Elephas maximus indicus: one gene and its partner. The protein of the gene in region 1 binds, or shares a complex with, the protein of each later gene. Links are inferred from orthologs where the notes say so. Each region holds a gene or a part of one and is shown in the gene's direction. Other genes may lie near its edges. The genes, in order: NXF1 and NXT1.

Region 1 (10,490 bases):
AGTCCTGCATCGTACATGGGTCCATTGTGTCTTCATGATTAGGTTATTTTGGGCTGTGTAACCTAGGTGATCACATCTGTAGGCACTTAATGTGTGACTATCCCTTTATTGGTGATGCCACGTTTGGGCACTTTAAGGTGGTAACCATCAGATTTCTCCGTCAGAAAGGCCCATTTTCCCTCTTTCTGTGACTAAGTCATCTGTGGAGCGATGCTTTGAGTCCATGTGAACGTCCAGCTCTGCAGGCTCATGGTGATCCTTGTCGGAATCACTTGTTAGATTGTGCATTGCAAAATGGTGATTTTCTAATTCTGTCATTTCCTTTTACATTTATTAGCTGGTATTTTCTCTATATATCACTATGAAGTCATGGCTTTTTTAATTCAATGTATTATAATCCATTTGCCATCATTCTTTATGACAATGAAATTTCTTCATTCTGGCCATATGGAGCCACTTCAGAGCAGCTTCTGTGTATTTTTAACATGAGTCCATTTACTCCCAATCATAAAATTTGGGGGAAACAGAAACTCAGAAAACTAAAATCCCAGGTCTTCTAATCATGGGCAGGTGACCTTTACAGTTAGTTCTTGGGCTCATTGCCTTTTTGGGCTCAACCTTTTTCTTCTTTCTCCTCAACTTCTCATACTCACATTATAGTCCTCTGGTTTCCCATGCTCTCATATCAGTGTCATTATCTGTCATTTCTGCTCAGCCAAACTCTAGCTGCTGCTGCATTTGCTTTTAATACCTAGAGGAAGTTGGCTGCCCATTCTTGGCTGAGATTAACATTCATCCTCTGTGTCCTCCTACCTGAGGACACTCTGGAAAAGGTATCAGGCCAGAGCCAGCCATGCAAAAATGTCCACATATTGGGCGGGAGATAGCCAGATGGCTGTCACGCGCCTTGGTTTCCTCCCATGAATAATATAACCACACCCCTGTACACTCCTTATCCTTTACTTCCCAAGAGTGACTCGTTTGCACATCGCCTTCGCAATGTCCACCATGTCTATAAGCAATCAATTTTTTTTTTCTGTTTCAGTCACGGTTTTTTTTTTTTTAATAATGTGTTTTCAGTGAGAGTTTACACAACAAATTAGGTTCCCATTTAAATAATAAGTTATTCAGTGACATTGACTACGTTTTTTGTCATGTGTCAACATTCTTATCTGCTCTTGTTGTCACAGGAGTTTTTTTTTTTCCTCCTAAATTTTATTTTGTTGTTGGGAACATACACAGCAAAGTACACACCCGTTCAGCAGTTTCTGCATGTTACAGTTCAGTGACATTGATGACATTCTTCGAGTTGTGCAGCCATTGTCACCTTCCTTTTCTGAGTTGTTCCCCCCTCATTAACATAAGCTCATGTGCCCTACGGTTCCTATCTAATCTTTTGAGTTGCTGTTGTCAATTTGATCCCAAGACTCCAACTTCTTACGGCTTGATTCTTTCCCTCTACAGTGTGTCTTTCTCTTCATAGAACATTTGTTTATCCTCCTACCGTTGCATACTTTGCCCCTTTCTGTTTTCCTTAGCTCACCTCTCTCCTTCCCAAGCAATATTTTCTGTCCCATTCATTTTTTTTCTAATTCCCCTGCTACTATCTCTGAATATCCCACTGATTCCTGATTTTTTCACCATCCGAACTCCTGTCTATCAGTTTTCATTCATGAACTCTGGTAGAAAATCTTTCATATGCCAGGTTGCATTTATTAACCTTTTCCATTTTTGTTAAGCAAAGCCATTCGTAGTTGCCCGTATGAACCTTATTTGGTTATAAGAAAACAAACGCATCCACACTGAGAAATGTAATTATACCCAAAAGCTAGGAAGCCTGACACTTTAGTTAGCCTCTCCAACATTATTTGGAAATCACATACGATCCAGGCTCCTCCTGTGTTTGAGACACTGAGGTTAGCTCACAGTCTTCATGACCACCTTCTCAGGACTGGGAACTGGCAGCCACTGGGCCACCCTCTCCTCTCACTTCCCAGCAGGAGTGCCAGGCTCCACCACATTCTTTGTACTTGTAGCCCACAAGTGTGTCCGCTCACAGGGACTACTTTTGCAAAGATAAGGATTTCTATTTGGTTTTTAGGATTGCATATGCAGATTGACTGGGAAATCCTTTATTTTCCTCGGGACTTTCTCAAGAGATTGCCCTTCCTCTAAGAACTTCTCTATATGTAAGAACACCTAATTCTCTAAACCGAAGGATGTCTATGTCTATTGGAAAATTTTCATCCTTTCAAGTTTCAGTTTCTTTTGCATATGCTTGTCTACATTTTCTGTTTCCTTATCCCCCTTTTCTGCTTCAGCCTGCTATAAAATTGTTCCTAAGCCCTTCAACTGAAACTGCTGGCACTGACGTAATTAACACCTTACAGTTCTTACCTCGTACTTCCATTCTCAGAGACATGTTCTCCCAGTAGGCCTTTTCTCATCCCCTGACTTCCTGTCCACATTAAATTTCTCTTCTTCTCTCACTCAGAACCAGGATTTCCTGACTCTGATGGTCTGTGAACTTTTTTCCCTATTATAAATGAGCATATATTTATTAGACAGAAATGAGTAAGTACTGATGAGCCAAAAATTACAGCTAACATTTTGAGGGATCTTACCCATGGGTTGTTGATTGTGATTCATAGCAACCCCACACGACAGAGCAGGACTGTCCCATAGGGTTTTCTGAGCTATGATCTTTACCAGAGGAGATTGCTAGTTTTTTCTCCTGTGGAGCTGCTGGGTGGGTTCTGACCACCAACCTTTTCATTAGTAGCTGAGCACTTAACCGTTGCATCACTGGGGCACCTTTACTATGGATTAGGCACTTTATATTTGTTGATTTATTTTAGACTGACAACAGCCTGAGAGGTAGGGTGTGGGATACCCTCATTTTGCAGATGAGGAAAATGAGACATGAGGTTAAGTGACTGGCTTAGGGTCATAAGCTAATAAGTACAGAGCCGGTTTTCAAACCAGAGCTAAGACTTGGTTATGTAGCCCTCCCGAGCCTTTTTTATGCCCCGTAATAGATACAAAAAAAGGTATCATATTGTATATAAACCCTTTTTGTCCCCACATATTGTGACCATCTTTCCATGTCAATAAATACACCTCAACAGCATTCTTTTTAATCCAGTGTCCTGTTTCCTTTCCTCCCGGCCTGTCCCCAGGATCGACGAGAACGTGCTAGGAGCCCAGCTGGATGTTGAGGCCGCCCACTCAGAGATCCTCAAGTACTTCCAGTCAGTCACCTCCAATCGGTGGCTCATGGTCAAAATCTTCCTCATCCTCATTGTCTTCTTCATCATCTTTGTGGTCTTCCTTGCCTGAGCCCTCTCTACTCTTAAGGCACTCCATGGGGGTTTGGAGCCCTCCCGGGAAGGCAGGTGGCCAGTGCTGCCACTGAGCCTGTGCAGGGTGCTTGGGAGAAAGGCCCTGTTTCCCTGGAACTGCTAAGAATGGCCACTGCCCCTTGACAACGTCCCCCCCCCCCCCCATCTTGCCTCTGGCTACCCTGTCCATCCTCACCATCCTCAACCCACAAAACACACACGGTTCTGGATTTGGACTCTGCTGTGAAGTGACTGGAAGGGAGCAAAGGCCAGCTGGGGGCCAGTGGGAGAGGCTGTCTCTACTATGAGTTTTTCTAAATCCTCCCCAGCCTCTCCTAAAGGAAACTTTGGCAGCAAGGGGAAATGATGCCCTTCCCCCCACCTTCCTGAGAGTGAGGAGAGGAAGAGAAACTGTCCCAGGGACCAACTTTCCCATCTGGGTTAGAACTTGACCTCTTTCTTCTTCCTTTCTTCACCATGTGAGGCTGGGGGTCCTGAGCCCCTCGGCTGCCTGCACAAACCCCAACATGGCTGCTCGTGACTCTCAATCTGCCAAATGCACTGCAGCCCATTTTCTCCCAATTACAGCAAGACTGTCAGCCTCAATAGCCATGTTGTCATTTCTGGGTGGGAGCGTCGAAGGGCCTAGGCAGCAAGTGGGTGAGACCACTGCCCAGTACCAAAACTGAAAGGGTTGCGCTGATGGCTCCAAGGGGCCCCAAGGCCGACTGTGGCAGCCTCTGAGCTCTGTACACACAGCCGCCTCCAGGGAGCAGAGAACCAAATGCAACAGCACCTCATTAGCATGAAACTTCTTTCAAAAGGAGGAGCTGGATCCCAGAGTGGGTGATTGGTGGCCAACTCTGAGACCATCTCGAACAGTGTGTGGACTGATTCCATCTGCATCCTCCAACCAGTTGACCTCAGTTCTTCTCTGAGCTGGTTGAGGCAGGAGCTCTGCCTGCTGTCAGTACCAAATAATGAAGTGCTATATGCCCTGCTCCAGCTGAGGCTCTGTGTTTTCTCCAAGCCCTCGCCAAATTGAAGCCAGTCAAAGAACAGAGGAGAAAACTGCCAGTATACCCATCCTCCAGGGAGGTTGATAGGCTGCTTTGACCTTCCTGACCAGAACCCACAACCACACCATTCTGAGATCACTGGAGTCCGTCTTTCAGACATCCCAAAGGAAACTCGAGCTATAGAGACTCCAGTCATCCTACTCAGGATCTGTCCTAGTACCTTGGGGCCTAGGGGAGCCCCTGGCTTTTTTCACCCTGGCATTTTAATAATTCCTTGCCCCTTGGCCTCTTTTCAAGGGGCCCTGGCGGCACAGTGGTTAAGCACTCAGCTGCTAACTGAAAGATCGGCAGTTCGAACCCACCAGCTGTTGCACAGGAGAAAGATGTGGCGGTCTGCCTCTGTGAAGATGACAGCCTTGGAAACCCAATGGGGCAGTTCTGTCCTGTAGGGTTAGTATGAGTCAGAATCGAGTCACAGCGGTGAGTTTGGTTTTGGCTGTGGCCTCTCTTAAGCAAGTGGTCTTGCTTGCACCTTCGTTGTCTGCCCAGTTGACATATGACGTGGGCCTAGCACAGTGCATAGTGGTTGGGGACATTTGTGAAGTGTTTGCTAAAGCCCGGCATACACGCAGCCTCATTTGACTTGGTAACTCTTCCAGGAGAGGGATGCTTAGAAGGGAAATTTACTTCACAAATATTTGAGTTCCTGCTGTGTGCCAGGCATGGTACTGGGCCAGGAGTTGGAGGGAAAAAAAGCATGAATTAAGTCATGGTCCCTGCTGTCATTCATTCATGTGTTCTCATTAGATTCCGGTGTTCAATTTCGTGGTTATTAACACATTTTATGGGTGAGAAAAACCAGGCTCAAGGTCCCTGCTGGTAAGGGGATGGGCTAAAACTTGGTCAAATGGCTGGATCCTGCTAGGTGTCCGTGAGAGAGAAATCCCACTCCGGGGTCCGGTCTCCAGTTCCTCGGAAGCCCTTGGCGCGACCCTTCTTCCCCATTTCTCTCCGAGTCCTGGGCTGGAGCAGCCTCGAGGCCGTTGGGCTGTTCGCTGCTCCCGCGCTAACTCGAGCAGGACGGATTAACTCAATAAACAGGGTACTCGCGGGCTTCGCTGTGCTTCATTACCAATCTAGGGCGCAATTTCACCTGCGTTCGACATGAACCCCAGATGAAACTGTGCACTACAGATTAGTACGCAAAGTTAACCCCGTGCATACCGTGCTTACCGGTTAACCCGCCACTGCCCCGGAGGTGCCGGAGGAGCGCCGGCCGACGTTCGAAGAAGGTGGCGGGTGAATGGGCCTGGGATTCCGGGCTCCGAAAGCGCAGCCCTCGGAGCCGGCCCCGCCCCCAGCCGCGTCCTGCCGTTTGCGCACGCGCAGTGCGCTGCGCTAGTCCCGGCGGCCCCGCCCACCAACTGGGGACGTCGGCGGCGCGCGACGTGCTCCTCCGGGCAAATGCGGCGGTGCCGGGCGTAGAGGTGTTTCGGCCTGGGTGCCTGGGCGTTCGGACGTTTGGTGGCCCGCGCCTGAGCGTCCCTGCTTGTCGCAGCGCCATGGCCGACGAGGGGAAGTCGTACAGCGGTGAGTGCTGGTCCTCGGGCGGCGGAGCGGGGCGATCCGGGGCCGGGGTGGGCGGCGCCGGCCTAGGCCTCAGCGCCGGGGCGTGAGGCCGCGAGGGGCCCGGCGTCCGTGGGGAAGGGCGCGGGGCGGGCGGGCCGGGGGCGAGGCGGCCTCGGGAGGCCCCAGCCGCACTCGAGGTGGGCGCCGGGGTTGTTGACTCGGGAATCCTGGCGTGAGGACCTGCGGCTCGAAGCGGGTGGCTCAGGGTGGGGTGACAGGATTCCTTTGAACTGTGGGTGGTTGATGCCTGTCAGTTCAGTTTGGCGGCCCGACTCTTCCTTTAATGTGACTCAGTGTATCTGGGCTGCCGTGGTGCCCAGTTTTCTACCGCGTGTAGTCGGTATCGTACCTCTTCCTGCCGTTTGAGCTTAATGTCGTAGACCACCTATACACCACCTCGATATTCTGATCTCCTGGGTTTAGTCCAGCGTAGTGTTCATGAATCAAAAACGACGTATTGCATCGGGCAGATCTGTGCCAAAGACCATCTTAAAGTGTTAAAAAGCAAAGATGTCGCTGTGAAGACTAAGGTGCGCCTGACCCAAGCCGTGGTATTTTCAAACGTCTTATGTGTATGCGAAAGCTGGGCAAAGAATAAGGAAGATGAAAGAAGAAGCGAGGCCTTTGAATTATGGTGTTCGCAAAGAATATCGAATATACCACGGACTGCCAGAAGAACGAACAAGTCTGTTTTGGAAGAAGTACAGCCAGAACGCTCGTTAGAAGCAAGAATGGCGAGAGTTCATCTCATGTACTTCAGTCACATTATCAGGAGGGATCAGTCCCTGGAGAAGGAGATCATGCTTGGTAGAGGATCAGTCAGAAAGAGGAGACCCTCAACAAGGTGGATTGACACAGTGGCTCAAACGTAGCCATGATTGTGAGGATGGCGCAGGATCAGGCAGTGTTTTGTTCTGTGGTACCTAGGGTTGCTGCGTCGGAACTGACTTGAGGGCACCTAACAACCAACAGTGGTTAGGAGTGCATGACAGCCGAGGTTTGAATCCTGATTTGGCTGCACCAAGCTTGAGTGAGTTAATTAAACTCAGGCCTTGTCTTCCGTTATCTGTAATAAGGTAATAATAGTATCTAACTCCTAAGGTGTGTGTGTGTGTGCGCTTAAATGAGATGGTTCAAGTCAAGTTCCTGGAGCATAGTGTTTAGACTGGAGAAAACGTGCAGTGAATGTGAGCTGCTGTTGTTATTCTTTTTTTTTTTCTTCCTTCCCTGGGTCAGTTTGTTGGGGTTCACTGGTCGGAGGATACTAGGCATTAGGCAGATCTTCTTGGTTGGAGGATACCAGGCGTTAGGTAGACCTTCTTGGGGAGTCATGGACCGTTTCTTAAAAGCTATTCCTACACATCTGGATTCAGAGAATCATGTCCCTGGAGCTCATTCCAGGCTCCTTTGTTGAGCATCTGTCCTAGGCTGGAGCCGCCACTCGAGCCTGAGTCTAGGAGCTGTCCCCACAGCTAAAGGCATTTCAGGCAAAGGAAATGGAGGACTCATTCACAAAACTTCAGAGTGGCAGTTTGAGAGCAGGGAGATTTTTTAAGGTGGCCCTAAAATTGGTCATATTTGGGGTTGACATTTGGTAAAAAGTACGATTTACCAAAAGCTGATGTCATCATTGTGATTGGTTAGGTTAGGAGGTGTGAGAGAAATCAGGTTACACTGAGTAGACCTGGGAGGCTGAGAGAAAGCAGGAACTTTAAGTGACTTTGGGGGTCTGATTTGTGTCCACTTATACTTTTGGATTACCCACATTTCCACAGCCTGCTTCTCCTTTCTGTAGTACGAAATTCTGCTGTCATTTTCGAAAGCCCTACACAGTTTTCCCTGGTGGTGCAGTGGTTAAAACACTCAGCAGCTAACCAGAAGTTTTGCAGTTCGAACCCATCAGCTGCTCCACGGGAGAAAGATGTGGCAGTCTGCTGCTGTAAAGATTTACAGCCTTGGAATCTCTATTGGACACTTCTGTTCTGTCCTTATAGGGTCGCTAGGACTTGGAATAGACTCTGCAGCAACGAGTTTGGTTTTTAAACACAGTTTGCCAAGAATTTTTCCTTGAAGATGCCATCTCTCAGAGAGGGCTCTTTAGACAGGCAGAGGGGTTTGTGTGGAGGTGGCCTCTGTTATATGTATCTCGTCTAGTAGTACAGGGTGACAAATACTGTGATTGCCACACCAGGGTATCTGGACTACTGATGTGTTTCTAACTAATTTGTGTTCCTGTTTCCGATTCCAGAGCACGATGACCGTGTTAGTTTACCTCGAAGAAGAAAAGGCCGGGGTCCTTTCCGTTGGAATTATGGCGAGGGGAACCGTCGCTCTGGAAGAGGCGGTTCTGGTACTCGGTCTTCTCGCCTTGGGGAAGATGATGGCGATGTGGCGATGGTTGATGCCCAGGATGGTCCCCGAGTACGATAGTAAGTGACCAGTTGGTCTGGCTGAAATTTAGTGACCCATCAGATTCTGCAGCTCTCTTACTGTCCATACCCCTTCTCTTTCCCATTTTGAAGGATGAGAAATGCCAGAATCGGCTTAATGGTTGAACACCCTCAGCTCTAGCCATGATAACAGTGTGGAGGCCTTTGAGAAGAATTTTCTAGCACTTACGGACATTTTTTTCCTCACAGCAACCCTTATGCTGCCCGACCCAACCGTCGCGGTGATAATTGGCACGATCGAGGCCGTATCCACGTCACTGTGCGGAGAGACAGAGCTCCTCCAGAAAGGGGGGCGGCTGGCACCAGCCAGGATGGGACCTCGAAGAACTGGTTCAAGATTACAGTGAGTACCTTGGAAAAGAAGTAGGTGGTGTAGGGGAGACGGGGGCTGGGCTCACAGTGAAAGCGTTTCCTGTTTATTTCATAAAGTCAGTCTTTTCGGCTCTTTATCTTACAACTAGGCATCTGTCTGTTTTGCCTAAGGATCAGTATCGTAGAACACCAAAAAGTTGGTCTGTAGAAGGGAACAGGCAGGATGGGGGTACCATCTACAGGGAAACATGGTAACTGTGCTTGGGAGATAGAGAAACTCCTGGCTGTCTCAATTAGAATCCCTGGAGTTCTCAGAGGGGCAGGCAAGGTGTAAACGATAATCTTGGAGCTTTTAGAACCAAAAGTTTTTATTCTTTTGCAAAAAAAGTTTAAGTGGACAGGAAGCAAGTTAAGGGGTTCACATCTAACTTAAATAATGAGCATATGTCTAGTCCTCTTCTTAGAAAATCTTTTAAAAGCTTGGCAGAAGGCCTGAAAAAGCCACTAGGTTGGGTTTGCTCTTCTACCTTAGTTACGTATTGTTGTTCTCTTTTTTTTCTTTTTCCTTTTTAGATTCCTTATGGCAGAAAATACGACAAGGCCTGGCTGCTGAGCTTGATTCAGAGCAAGTGCAGTGTTCCCTTCACTCCTGTCGAGGTGAAATAAGGCCTCAGTCTCAGGCTGGTGGGGCACCTTGGAGGGCAGAAGGGGTCTGGGCTCTAAGTCTAATGCTGCTATTTCTGCTTCTTACAGTTTCACTATGAGAACACACGGGCCCAATTTTTTGTTGAAGATGCCAGCACCGCCTCTGCACTGAAGGCTGTCAACTATAAGATTTTGGATCGGGAGAACCGAAGGGTATGTGTAGAGGGCCCTGGCTTGGCGGGATATGGGGACTGGTGCACAGGGCAGGGACTGGGTCTTAGCACTGGGGCTTGGACTTCCTGGGGTTTACCCTGCCCTTTGTTTCTTCCCTGCAGATATCAATCATCATCAACCCCTCAGCTCCACCCCAAACGGTGCAGAACGAGCTGAAGCCAGAACAAGTAGAGCAGCTAAAGGTGAGGCAGGCTCGAGCAATGTGTTTCCACCCCATCCCCACACACATCCCCAGTCACAGCTGAACCTTTTCTCTTTCTCTCTAGCTGATCATGAGCAAAAGATATGATGGCTCCCAGCAAGCACTGGACCTCAAGGGCCTCCGTACCGACCCAGGTATAGTTGATAGCACTAATTGTCAGCTAGGTGAAGGCAGACGGGATCTCCCAGGGAGAATGTCTGGTGCTGATGCTGGCCTGGACAAGCCCTTTCAGAGTGATGTTTCCTTTCTTTCTGCTTCCCGAAGATTTGGTCGCCCAGAACATTGACGTTGTCCTGAATCGTAGAAGCTGTATGGCGGCGTCCCTGCGAATCATTGAAGAGAACATCCCTGAGGTAAGGCGTGAGGCCTTTGGCCCAGTATTTGGCTTGAAGAAGTAGGATGGGGCTGGGGGACAGATTTGTCTCAGTCCTGACACCGGCAGCACTTCCTTTAAACTCTTCTCTCCTCACAGCTATTGTCTTTGAACTTGAGCAACAACAAGCTATACCGGCTGGATGATCTGTCTAGCATAGTGCAGAAAGCACCCAACCTAAAGATCCTAAACCTCTCTGGAAATGAGGTGAAAATTGAGAGTCTGCTTGTGTTTTTAATGAGGTGGGAGGAGGGTGGAGAGGGTTTGCCTGGTGATGATGGGAGG
Region 2 (10,433 bases), on another chromosome or scaffold:
GCCTCTGCCAGGCAGGATAATTCTCAGGTGTGTGTTCCATGCTGTCTTCAGAGTCCCACAGCACGATCAGGCTCTAGTCACTCACGGTGGGGCTGGCTGGTCAAGCTCTCTTCTCCTTCCTCAACACCCCACTCCCCTACTGGCATTCCCCGCCCCTCCCAGATGACTTACTCTGAATCCTCACTTTGGACCTGCCTCTAGAAGAACTCACTACGTACTAGGCACTTCCTGCACATTAGGTCACGGAACCTGCTTAGAAGCAGAGAAGACTGTCCCCTGAGAGTCAAGCCAGCCGACAAATGCAATGTCACCTTGAAGAGAAACGAGGCTCTGGGCTGCCAGGCTATGATGTGAGGGAATGCGTCCCGATACCCATAGCCAGAGCTTAGAAACACACAAAAAGATGGGGGGATGAAGGGCTATTACAGAGACAAGATAGGAGTGCTGGTGGGAGGGAGCCAGGGTCAGCGGACTCAGTGTGGGTCTCAGATCCCACTGCTGCCAGCTGCTGTCCTCACTGGAAAGGTAGATCCATCTGGCCACGTCAGCTTGATACAGCCAACCCCAGGACCCTACTGGCCATCGTCTCTTCCTGCTCTGATCCACGCTCACAGAGCTGCTCACTGATGACGCCGAGGATTCCTGCCTCCATCTGCTCCTGCAGAGAGAACAAACTTGCCTAGCAACATGAGCGCTCTGGCCCTGGCAGCTACTTGTGCCTATGGATGAATAAACTGACACCCATCCTACGGCGCAGTCTTACGAGCTGGTTTGAAATGACTCATTCTCTGACCAGTGGATTCATTTTCAAGATTAGGTAGGGAAACCGCCTCGGGACTGTTGCGAGTTCTTTGGTGCATCCCCTTGCAAGGCCTCTCGGAGCCCTGTCCTCAGGTTCCTTTAGTGCAAGTGGCAAACTCCTTTCATACAGACACAAATTTAAAAAGAAGGTACTGCCACGCTGGGCTCTCCTGGAGACTTGGAGAACAGTAACGCAAATGGCTCTGGTTCTCTTGCTCATTACAAATCACCACAAAATTTAGTGGCTTAAGAAAACAATCATCACTTACTTTCTCATGCCCCTGCAGTTTGGTCAGGGCTTAGGGGACAGGCTCATCTCTACCAGCAGCAGCAGGACAGTCCCACTCACCTCCAAGATAGCGCACTCACACAACTGGCCACTTGGTGCTTGCTATTGGCTGGGCAGTGGGTGGCTCAGCTGGGTGGAAGCTTTGGGTCTTCATTTCTGTGCTTACCCACAGGTGCTCTGGGCTTACTCATGGTAGCTGGGTTCATGGATGAGCGTATGAAGAGACAGCTGGGCAGAGCCGCACCCCCTTTTATGACCTAACCTCACACACAACCATTTCCTCTGAACCCTGTGAGTTGGGCCTGCCTCACTGGGTCCCCAGGCCTGACCAGATCCAAGGGAAGGGGACAGACACCATCTCCTGGTGGGGACGGCAAGGCAAGGTTTGGACAAGCACATGGAACCAGAAACATTTTTGTGCCCGTTTTTTGGAAAATAACACTTGCCACAACAAGGAACAAAAAAACACTGGGAACCAAGGCAGCTGTTCACCAAGAGCTCATGTGCCTATGCCTGCGTGGGTGTGCCCTACTCTAGCACTCTCTCAGATCACGTGGCCTTTTGACTCTGCTTCATTATCTCGTCTGTCCTCATGGCCACCCAGCTCCCAACCTACAGGCGCTACTGGCCTCAGTTCTTTCTGCCTTCCAAGAATCCCAGGAACTCTCCTCTCCTCTCCTCAGTGGGACTGGCTGTCAAGCTGCCCCACCCCTTCCTGGCCAAGCGGCAGGTGGCGCATGGTTGGAGTTAGGCCAATGCAGCTCTCTGTCTCCCAGGAATCTGAATCTTGAGTGGAGGATCCCAATGGCTAGAAATTTGTCCGAGGTAGCACCTGAAGCACCCACTGCCCAGTTCCTGCTCCCCAGACCCCAGGAGTCTTACCAAGCCCTGCCTTGGCTCAGCAAGCACCTGCAGGCTTCCAGTAAACACCTCTGGCCTACATTAGCCAAAACTGGTTTCTGTTACTTGCGAACAATCAACCCCAATAAATATCCATATTCAGTTCCAGCCACACCTGAAGCTTATTAGCAGTTTCTGGCTCCCAAAATTCCACGTTTCCGGGAAAGAGCATTTGATGGCTCAGCTGGAGAGACTTCCACCTGCAACCCAATCAGCAATGATTCCAAGAACATTCTCAAACAAAGGGCATCCTTGTAGGCGAGGCAAACACTCCCAGTGGTGCCTCCACAATGCGCTGCCATTTAACTACTACGGCATTCCCACTCCCATTTCACAAAGTCACCGAGGAACAGAGGAGGCAGAGTGGCAGAGCTAGGATTTCACAAAACCCTGTCTGCCCCATATGATATGCTCCTTCCATGGCCTCCAGAAAAGTCTCCCCAAAAGTGGGGTCCCCAAGTGACCTCCCAGAACTACAGCCCTGGCTCGCCTGGTTGTTCGGCAGCTTGATGGCCCTGCTGAGGCTTTAGTCTTGTTGCCCCCTGGGTACGAGAGGCTCTCAGTTCTACCTTCTGCCCTCAAATGGCAATCTCTGAAACAAATAAATCAGGGAAAGATTAAAAAAAAAAAGATTTGTTATCAGTGCCAATGCAGGTGGCCCAGCTCCAAGCCTCTTAAGGCAAACACGTGCTGCTAGGTCCTGCAGCAGACACACACCGACAACAGGGGAGATCAACCCTGTCCTTCAGACATAAACATCCTAAGTCAGGCCTGTCTTCAGAGCTGCCAGAGGCTCCGCACGTAGATGTGTCCTCCCTCCCTGGAGAGGCTCCAGGCTGCAAACGGGGCCTCTGCTCTAAGAGAGGCTTCATTTTCTAGAAGGTGCCAATGTGATTTGGTGATAAATCCAGCTAATTTGTCAATACACTTGTCCCATGCTTAAAAGCCAGTCTTTGGAGGGAGAGCTTGTTGGCAAATCAGGAAGTTGCTGTCAGTGCAAACTGTCTAAGCATAATTCTGCCTTGGTGGTGTTTCCTGGGTGCTTAATCTAGGCCAGGCTCTGTGCCAAGCATTGCTTCCTTCGCTGCTCGCATCTGCCCAAGAAAATGGGTATTATTATTGTCCTCATTCTCCGGTGAGGCAGCTGAGACTCAGAGAGGTTAGTTTACATGATCCCCTAGTCAACCCACCAGTCACCTCTACTAGGTATACTAGTTAAATTATAAGTAACGTAAAGCCCAACTTTAAATAGCATGAAAAATGAAGGATATTTTACTAGCTCCTGAAACTGCAAAGTCCAAACTTCAGGGCTGGTTTGACTCAGGGTCTTAACACAGTCATCGAGTGCCTGATTTCTTCCCATCTCTCATGTCTGTCTCATGGGCATGGGGCTCCCCTCAGGGGGGAAAGATGGTTGTCGCAGTGCCATCCACACACCACAAGTCCAGAGAGAGAGAAAACATTTCTTTCCCAGCACCCCTGAGCAACCACCTTCTCCAGGCTTGGTGGCCCTGACTGGGTCTCCCACCATCCCTGAGTTCTGCTTGGGGCACAGTGCCAGCACCCTGTGCCTGAGGGCCAGGCGTGGCCCTAAACTCCCAAATGCAAGGACTGCAGGGGAATAACAACTAGCGGGGCTTCCAAGAGAAGGGGGAGTAGACTTGGGGGAGGGGTCATCACAATTGCAATGTTGTAGAGCAATGATTTGAACTCAGGCCTGTCCTGCACCAAAGCCTATTCATTCAAACAGTATTTATTGAGCTCTTACTGTGAGTTAAGCACAATTTTAGATGCTAGACACAGGTCTTAAAGGTCCCTGCCTTCCTACCCACTGCTGGCTCTGCTGCCTCTTGGGGACAAAGTCCTCTGTATTTACAAGGCATTGGAGATGGACAAACGTTGTCCTGTTCAGCTTTTTTAGGTCTAACTCAACTCTGTAACTCCAGGCTGCTAATTTCATTTCTCTCTCAGCCTCCTCGTCTATAATATCAGGAATAATAACACCTTCCTCAAAGGGTTATGAAAAAAGGGGAATACAGGGAAACTTAAAGCAGCCTAACATTCAACCTAGTGAGCACAGAGTAATCAGCTTTCTTTTCATCCACTGGTGCTGGGATATGGACTTGTGCACAGCGAACCCTGACCTCACTGTCCTGGGCTTCATAAAGAAATAACTGGTATGAGCACTGCTCCAAAGACGCTCATTCGACCTTTCTACTCAGCCTCCAGCTTACTTCTTACAATCCAAACCTCCTTCACCTACTTGATTTCAGTAGCCCATCTTTACTAAACAGCCCACCCGGTTTCTAAGCTCGTCTTGAAATCTGAGAGCAAGGGTTCTCTGAGCAACGCGAGCAAACTCAAGGCTGAGGACACCAAAAAAGCATCCCTCCGATGAATACACGCCCTAAAAGGACACTGCAAAATCCTTGAACCTAGCCCATGCCCAGAATGCTCCCTCACCTTTAACCCAAAAAAATCAAACCCGTTGCTATCGAGTCAATTCCAACCCTCAGTGACCCCACAGGAGAGAGAACTGCCCCATAGTTTCCAAGGAACACCTGGTGGATCCGATATCGCACCTAAGGGTCAGCAAGTGGAGCTCAGAATCTTCCGCCTGAAGTCCAAACGTGTTTTATTCTCACTTTTATTTTCACTAAATGATTCCATATTGGTCAGCTGAAGTTCCAGACAGCTAGTTTGGAAAGCTGGAGCACAGAATCAAGCCACCAGCCAAGCTCTGAGCCACAGCTGGCACCATAAGTATGGAGTGAAGGAAGGAGCCCCTCGGTTCTCAAGACGCAGAAGGTAAACTGCCCTTTGGCGCCCTTTTGCCAGTTCCCAGCTTTACCCACGCCCTCATCCCCATCCTCGACCCTCTTCTCACTTTTAGGCAGTTTCCCGAGACCAAACCCGTTGCCCTGGACTTGAATCCCACTCCCAGCGACCCTACAGGACGTGCTGACCTGCCCCACAGTACTTCCGAGGCAGTAATTCGTCTTGGCAGAAGTGCAGCCAGAACGCTCCTGGGAAACGAGGATAAGGAGGCTCCGTCTCTGGTACTGTGGACACGTTACCACGAGGGCCCGGTCCCGGGAGGGCATCATGCTCGGCTGAGGGTCAGCGGAGAGAGGCAGACCCTCGGCGAGGCGCGCGGACGCGGCGGCTGCACCGGCGGGTTCACAGCAGCAGGCCGGGGCGCCGGCACGGAAGCCGGCCGTGCTCCGTCCCTTGCCTCAGGGTCGCTATGAGCCGGACAGCACCACAGCACCTAACGACAAGCTCACGGAAGCCTCGTCCGGGTGCCTCAGAGCGGCCGGCGGGCTCCAGCCGCGGGCCTTTCGGTTAGCAGCCGAGCCCTGTAACCACTGCTCAGCCGGGGCTCCTGGGTCCCCGCTTACCAGAAGACCTTCCCAACCCCTCAGCCCGTCAACTCCAAGGGCCTCAAGCTACAAACGGCAGCGCCCGCTCGGGTCACCGCTTGGGCAGATAATTACCCTCTCGGAGGGTGCACGTGCTCCCGGCGACCACACGCGATGTCTGACTGAGCGCCTCAGTGGGCTGCCCCGGATGCACAAGTCGCGGGGCGTCACATGCCCCGGAACCGGAAGCCCCAGCTGCAGTTGAGCGTGCGCGCATGAACCTCTCCGGCAGAGCATCACAAGTGGGCGGCCTCGGCTCCGGGGGCGGGGCCTGGAAACTTTATCCAATCAACGATATCTCACCTAACTATTTGGACCGGAGTCTGTGACCCGGTTGGACCAATGAAAGCTCGAGCGCTGCCGTTGCCTGGACCCTCCCCCGCCCGGAAACCGCGGCTCTCTTCCCGCCACACCTAGGCGGGGCTACCTTCCGACTCGCCTTCCCATTGGTTCACTCAGCTGCCGGTCACGCAAGGCGGGCCTCCAGTGGGAATCTGCACCGGGAGCCGCCGGGGGCGCCTCCGGCCGCCAGTCGCCGCCGCCGCCTAGGGCCCCGGCGATCCAGCTGAGTGAGCCCCGCTGGAGGAAAAGAGGGCGGCTCTTCCCGCGCCCCCCACAGGTGAGCCATGGGGGAGCTGAGAGCCTCGGCAGTCCCACCCGTGACCTTCAGGTGCCGGGCCTCTCGGTAGACCTGCAGTCCGCGACGCCCCCTGTCCCCGCCCCGTCGCCCCTGGGGACTCCTACCGCCCCCCGCGCACCGGAGACGCCCCCGCCCCACGGGGACTCCCCCCGCCCACCGGAGACGGCCCCGCCCCCCCGGGACGCCCACTGCCCCTGCCCCGCCGGCCCCCGGGGACGCCCACCGCCCACCCCGGACGCCTACCCGCCCCCACTCCCCGCCCACGCTCACTGGGGGTCGCTGAGTCGCACCCCGACCCGCGCTGGCGAGGGAGGCGGAGACCCTCTCCGCCCGCGCTGACCCGGGATGTGGTCTGCACAGGTAGGTCGCCGACCCCATCTGGTACATTGGGGACCACGCGCGGACGCGGAGCGATTCACGAGAGACAGGGAGAGGAACACGGGCATTCCCGAGCCTTGCTTCACTGTCAAGGGAAACCCGCGGGTTTTGTCGCTAAATCAGGAGGTATCAGTGCAGGCCTGCGTTAGGTTTCTGCGTGTGCGGGAGGAAGAGCATGCGTTCAGAGAGAAACTCTCGGTAAGTTTGCATTGCAGTGAGCAGGAGAGAGCCATGTAGAGGAGCAGCTCTGAGGCCTCAGAAGAACTGTGTAACTGTTGCATCTTCTCACTCAGCATTCGGTGATGTGGAGCCCAGAGAAAAGGAGGCGGTATTCACAGATTTTCATTTATCCCACTTTCCACAGTCTCATTATTGCTCTGTATTAACGTAGCGAAGAGACGTGGTCGTTTATTGGGAGAGGGGACATGATTGTGAGTGGAAGCAGAGGTGGGGGAACAGGGGCTCAACTGAAGAGAAGGTCCGGAGACAATGGAATTGAGACGATGGAGGACTGACGGGACATCAGGATGAGGAGGAATGTGGACCTTGTAATGGTCGGGCCTTCCAGAAAGAGAAATCTGAGTTTCCAGAAAGGAATTTTCAAACCACTTGTCCTGGAGCTAAGCTCAAGTAGACAAATTCAGCTTTAGTTAAAAAATGCAGGGAACTTTGAGCAAATAAAAGGCCAGCAGTCTTTTGAAATTTTTCAAGGTCCACAGACGTTTTTATGAACGGTAAATCAGGCATCTACTTACTGTTGTGATCTTGTTCCAGACTGTTGTTTTCTGATTTATAAAGCTGTTGTGTAATGTCCTCCTCACCCATTCATTATCCAGCTGCTGGCAACGCTCCAGGACGGAGCAGAGCTGCCGGGTGGGGTTTCCAAGGCTGTAAATCTTTACAGAAGACTGCAACAGGTTTCTCCCGTGCAGAGGCAGATGAGTTCAAACCACTAACCTTAAGTTTAGCAGCTGAGTGCTTAACCCCTGTGCCACCATGGCTCCTTTCATCCAGCATGGTGATGCTTAAGTGAAGGTAAGGCGTGTAAAGCCCTATCACAGTACCTAGCCCAGAGTAAGTGCGCACTGATGTCTGGTATCGAGGTCCGTGGAGGAAGTGGAAAGACCAGTGTCTGTGGAAGACCCAACTCTTATGTCTAGGGCTGCTCCCCCACCCCCCACCCCCCACCCCCCACCCCCCACCCCCCACCCCCCACCCCCCACCCCCCACCCCCCACCCCCAGCTCTTCACAGGTCTTTACTAGAGGCAGATGCCAGTGCCTTTCCCAGCCTTTAAATCTACCTGACCAGGTCTCTTTCTCCACCCCATGTGGAATCTGTCATCTGTTTTGTTAGCTGATGATTACAGCAGGCTCTAGTGGCACGGTGCTCACGCACTTAGCTGCTAAGTGAAAGCTTAACGGTTCAAACCTGTTAGCTGCTCCATGGGAGAAAGATGTGGCAGTCTGCTTCTATAAAGATTCACGGCCTTTGAAACCCTACAGGGCAATTCTGTTCCGTCCTGTACACGGTTGCCATGAGTCAGAAGGTTTTTTGGGGGGCGGTGCTTATAAGAACAGAAATTTATTGCCTCATGATTTTAGAGGCTTGTAGTCTGAATTCATGTTCTCAACAAAAGGTCTAGGCTAAGATTTTTTTTTTTAAGTGAAAGTTTAAAAACAAGTCAATATCTCATATAAAAACTTATGTAACCTTGCTGTGTACTCCTGTTTCCACTTCTGTATTGACACAGCGAAACCCTGGTGGCGTAGTGGTTAAGTGCTATGGCTGCTAACCAAAGGGTTGGCAGTTCGAATCTGCCAGGCGCTCCTTGAAAACCCCTCTGTGGGGCAGTTCTACTCTGTCCTATAGGGTCGCTATGAGTCGGAATCGACTTGATAGCACTGGGTTTGGTTTTTTGGGGTTTTATTGACACAGCACACTCTTTCCCTCCGCTCTCTATTTTTGTGTCCATTCAGCCAGCATCTGCCCCCCTCTGCCCTCTCCTTTCTTCTCCAGACAAGAGCTCCCTACAGTTTCCTGTGTCTGCTTGTTTGGGTTTACTTGATCCAAGGAGCTCACTCTTCACCAATATCATTTTCTGTCCCATCGTCCAGCCCAATCTCTGTCTGAAGAGCTGGCTTTGGGAATGGTTCCTGTCTTGGGCTAACAGAAAGTCTGGGAACCATGACCTCTGGGGTCCTTCTAGTCTCAGTTCGACCATTAAGTCTGGTCATTTTGCGGAATTTGGGGTCTGCATCCCCATGCTCTCCTCCTGCTCCCTCAGGGGTTCTCTGTTGTGTTCCCTGTCAGGGCAGTCATCAGTTGTAGTTAGGCACCATCTAGTTCTTCTGGTCTCAGGCTGAGGTAGTCTCTGGTTTATGTGGCCCTGTCTGTCTCTTGGACTCACAATTAATGACCTTGTATCCTTAGTGTTCTCCATTCTCCTTTGCTGCAGGTGGGTTGAGACCAATTGATGCATCTTAGATGGCTACTTACTAAGATTTAAGATCCCAGAAGCCGTGCTCTAAAGTGGGATCAGAACATTTTCTTAATAGATTTTATTATGCCAGTTGAGTTAGATGTCCCCTGAACCCATGGTCCCCAAACCCGCACCCCTGCTGCGCTGGCCTTCGAAGCATTCAGTTTATTCAGAGACTTCTCGCTTTCGGTTAAGTCCGGTTGTGCTGACCTCTCCTGTATTGTGTGTTGTTTTTCCCTTCGCCTAAAATAGTTCTTACCTACTATCTGATTGGTGAAAACCCCTCTCCCTCCCTCCCTCCCCGCTCTCATAATAATCAAAGAATATTTTCTTCTCTGTTTAAACTATTTTTTGAGTTCTTATAATAGTGGTTTCATAAAATTGGTCGTTTTGCAACCGACTAATTTCACTCAGCATAATGCCTTCCAGGTTCCACCACGTTACAAAATGTTTCACAGCTTCCTCACTGTTCTTTATCGATGCATAGTATTCCATTCTGTGAATATACCATAATTTATCCATTCATCTGTTGATGGACACCTTGGTTGCGTCCATCTTTTTGCTGTTGTAAACAGTGCTGCAGTAAACACGAGTTGCATATATCTGTTCGTGTAAAGGGTCTTATTTCTCTAGGATATATTCCAAGGAGTGGGATTGCTGGATCTTATGGCAGTTCTATTTCTAGCTTTTTAAAAATCGAAGGAAGTGCCAAATCGATTTCCAAAGTGGTGGTACCATTTGACATTTCCACCAGCAGTGTATAAGTGTTGCAGTCTCTCCACAGCCGCTCCAACATTTATTATTTTGTGTTTTTGGATTAACGCCACCGTTATTGGAATGAGATGGAATGTCATTGTAGTTTTGATTTGCATTTCTCTAATGGCTAATGATCATGAGCATTTCCTCATGTATCTGTTAGCTACCGGAATGTCTTCTTCAGTGAAGTGCCTGTTCATATCCTTTGCCCATTTTTGAATGGGGCTATTTGTCTTTATGTAGTTGTTTTTGCAGTATCATGTAGATTTTAGAGATTAGACACTGGTCAGAAATGTCATAGCTAAAAACTTTTTCCCAGTCTTTAGGTAATCTTTTTACTGTTTTGGTGTTTGATTTTTAGGAGCTCCCGGTTATCTAGTTTCTCTTCTGCATTGTTAGTAATGTTTCGCATGCTGTTTATGCTATGTGTTAGGGCTCCTGGTGTTGTCCTTATTTTTTCTTCCATGATCTTTATTGTTTTAGATTATATATTTAGGTCTTTGATCCATTTGTAGTTAGTTTTTGTGCATGGTGTGAGGTATGGGTCTTGTTTGACTTTTTTGCAGATGGATTTCCAGTTACGCCAGCACCAGTTGTTAAACTGACTGTTTTTTCCCCCATTTAACTGACTTTGGGCTTTTGCAAATATCAGCTGCTCATAAAAAAAAAAATTTTTTTTTTTTTCATGTGTGGATGGAGTTATGTCTAGATTCTCAGTTCTTTTCCATTGGTCTGTGTATCTGTTGTTGTACCAGTACCAGGCTGT

Evidence for each region.
Region 2: the proteins of NXF1 (region 1) and NXT1 are in contact, whole or in part, in a crystal structure (PDB 4WYK), measured with the Homo sapiens proteins. The link is inferred for Elephas maximus indicus from reciprocal best matches to the Homo sapiens genes NXF1 and NXT1. Residues at the interface, in NP_006353.2 of Homo sapiens: Ala366, Pro367, Thr368, Thr369, Leu370, Pro371, Pro372, Cys373, Lys374, Gly375, Tyr377, His411, Gly413, Cys415, Cys416, Ser417, Leu418, Ser419, Ile420, Pro421, Phe422, Arg440, Asn441, Val442, Lys443, Lys444, Lys446, Pro448, Thr449, Arg451; in NP_037380.1 of Homo sapiens: Phe6, Lys7, Val10, Asp11, Cys14, Glu18, Thr44, Val46, Trp47, Asn48, Gly49, Asn50, Ala51, Phe61, Met64, Leu65, Pro66, Ile72, Ser73, Val74, Val75, Asp76, Cys77, Gln78, Pro79, Val80, His81, Glu83, Ala84, Thr85.

The regions. Positions count from the first base shown.
Region 1 is NC_064825.1:125,952,821-125,963,310, reverse strand, and holds the start of NXF1 (nuclear RNA export factor 1), read left to right. Parts: upstream 1-5,770; 5' UTR 5,771-5,922; coding exon 5,923-5,950; intron 5,951-8,237; coding exon 8,238-8,418; intron 8,419-8,628; coding exon 8,629-8,782; intron 8,783-9,324; coding exon 9,325-9,408; intron 9,409-9,504; coding exon 9,505-9,609; intron 9,610-9,731; coding exon 9,732-9,812; intron 9,813-9,896; coding exon 9,897-9,966; intron 9,967-10,096; coding exon 10,097-10,185; intron 10,186-10,304; coding exon 10,305-10,412; intron 10,413-10,490. Other genes in the region: STX5 (syntaxin-5), read left to right, coding at 3,180-3,339.
Region 2 is NC_064843.1:65,788,137-65,798,569, forward strand, and holds the start of NXT1 (NTF2-related export protein 1), read left to right. Parts: upstream 1-5,887; 5' UTR 5,888-6,031; intron 6,032-6,412; exon of another isoform or gene 6,413-6,628; intron 6,629-10,433.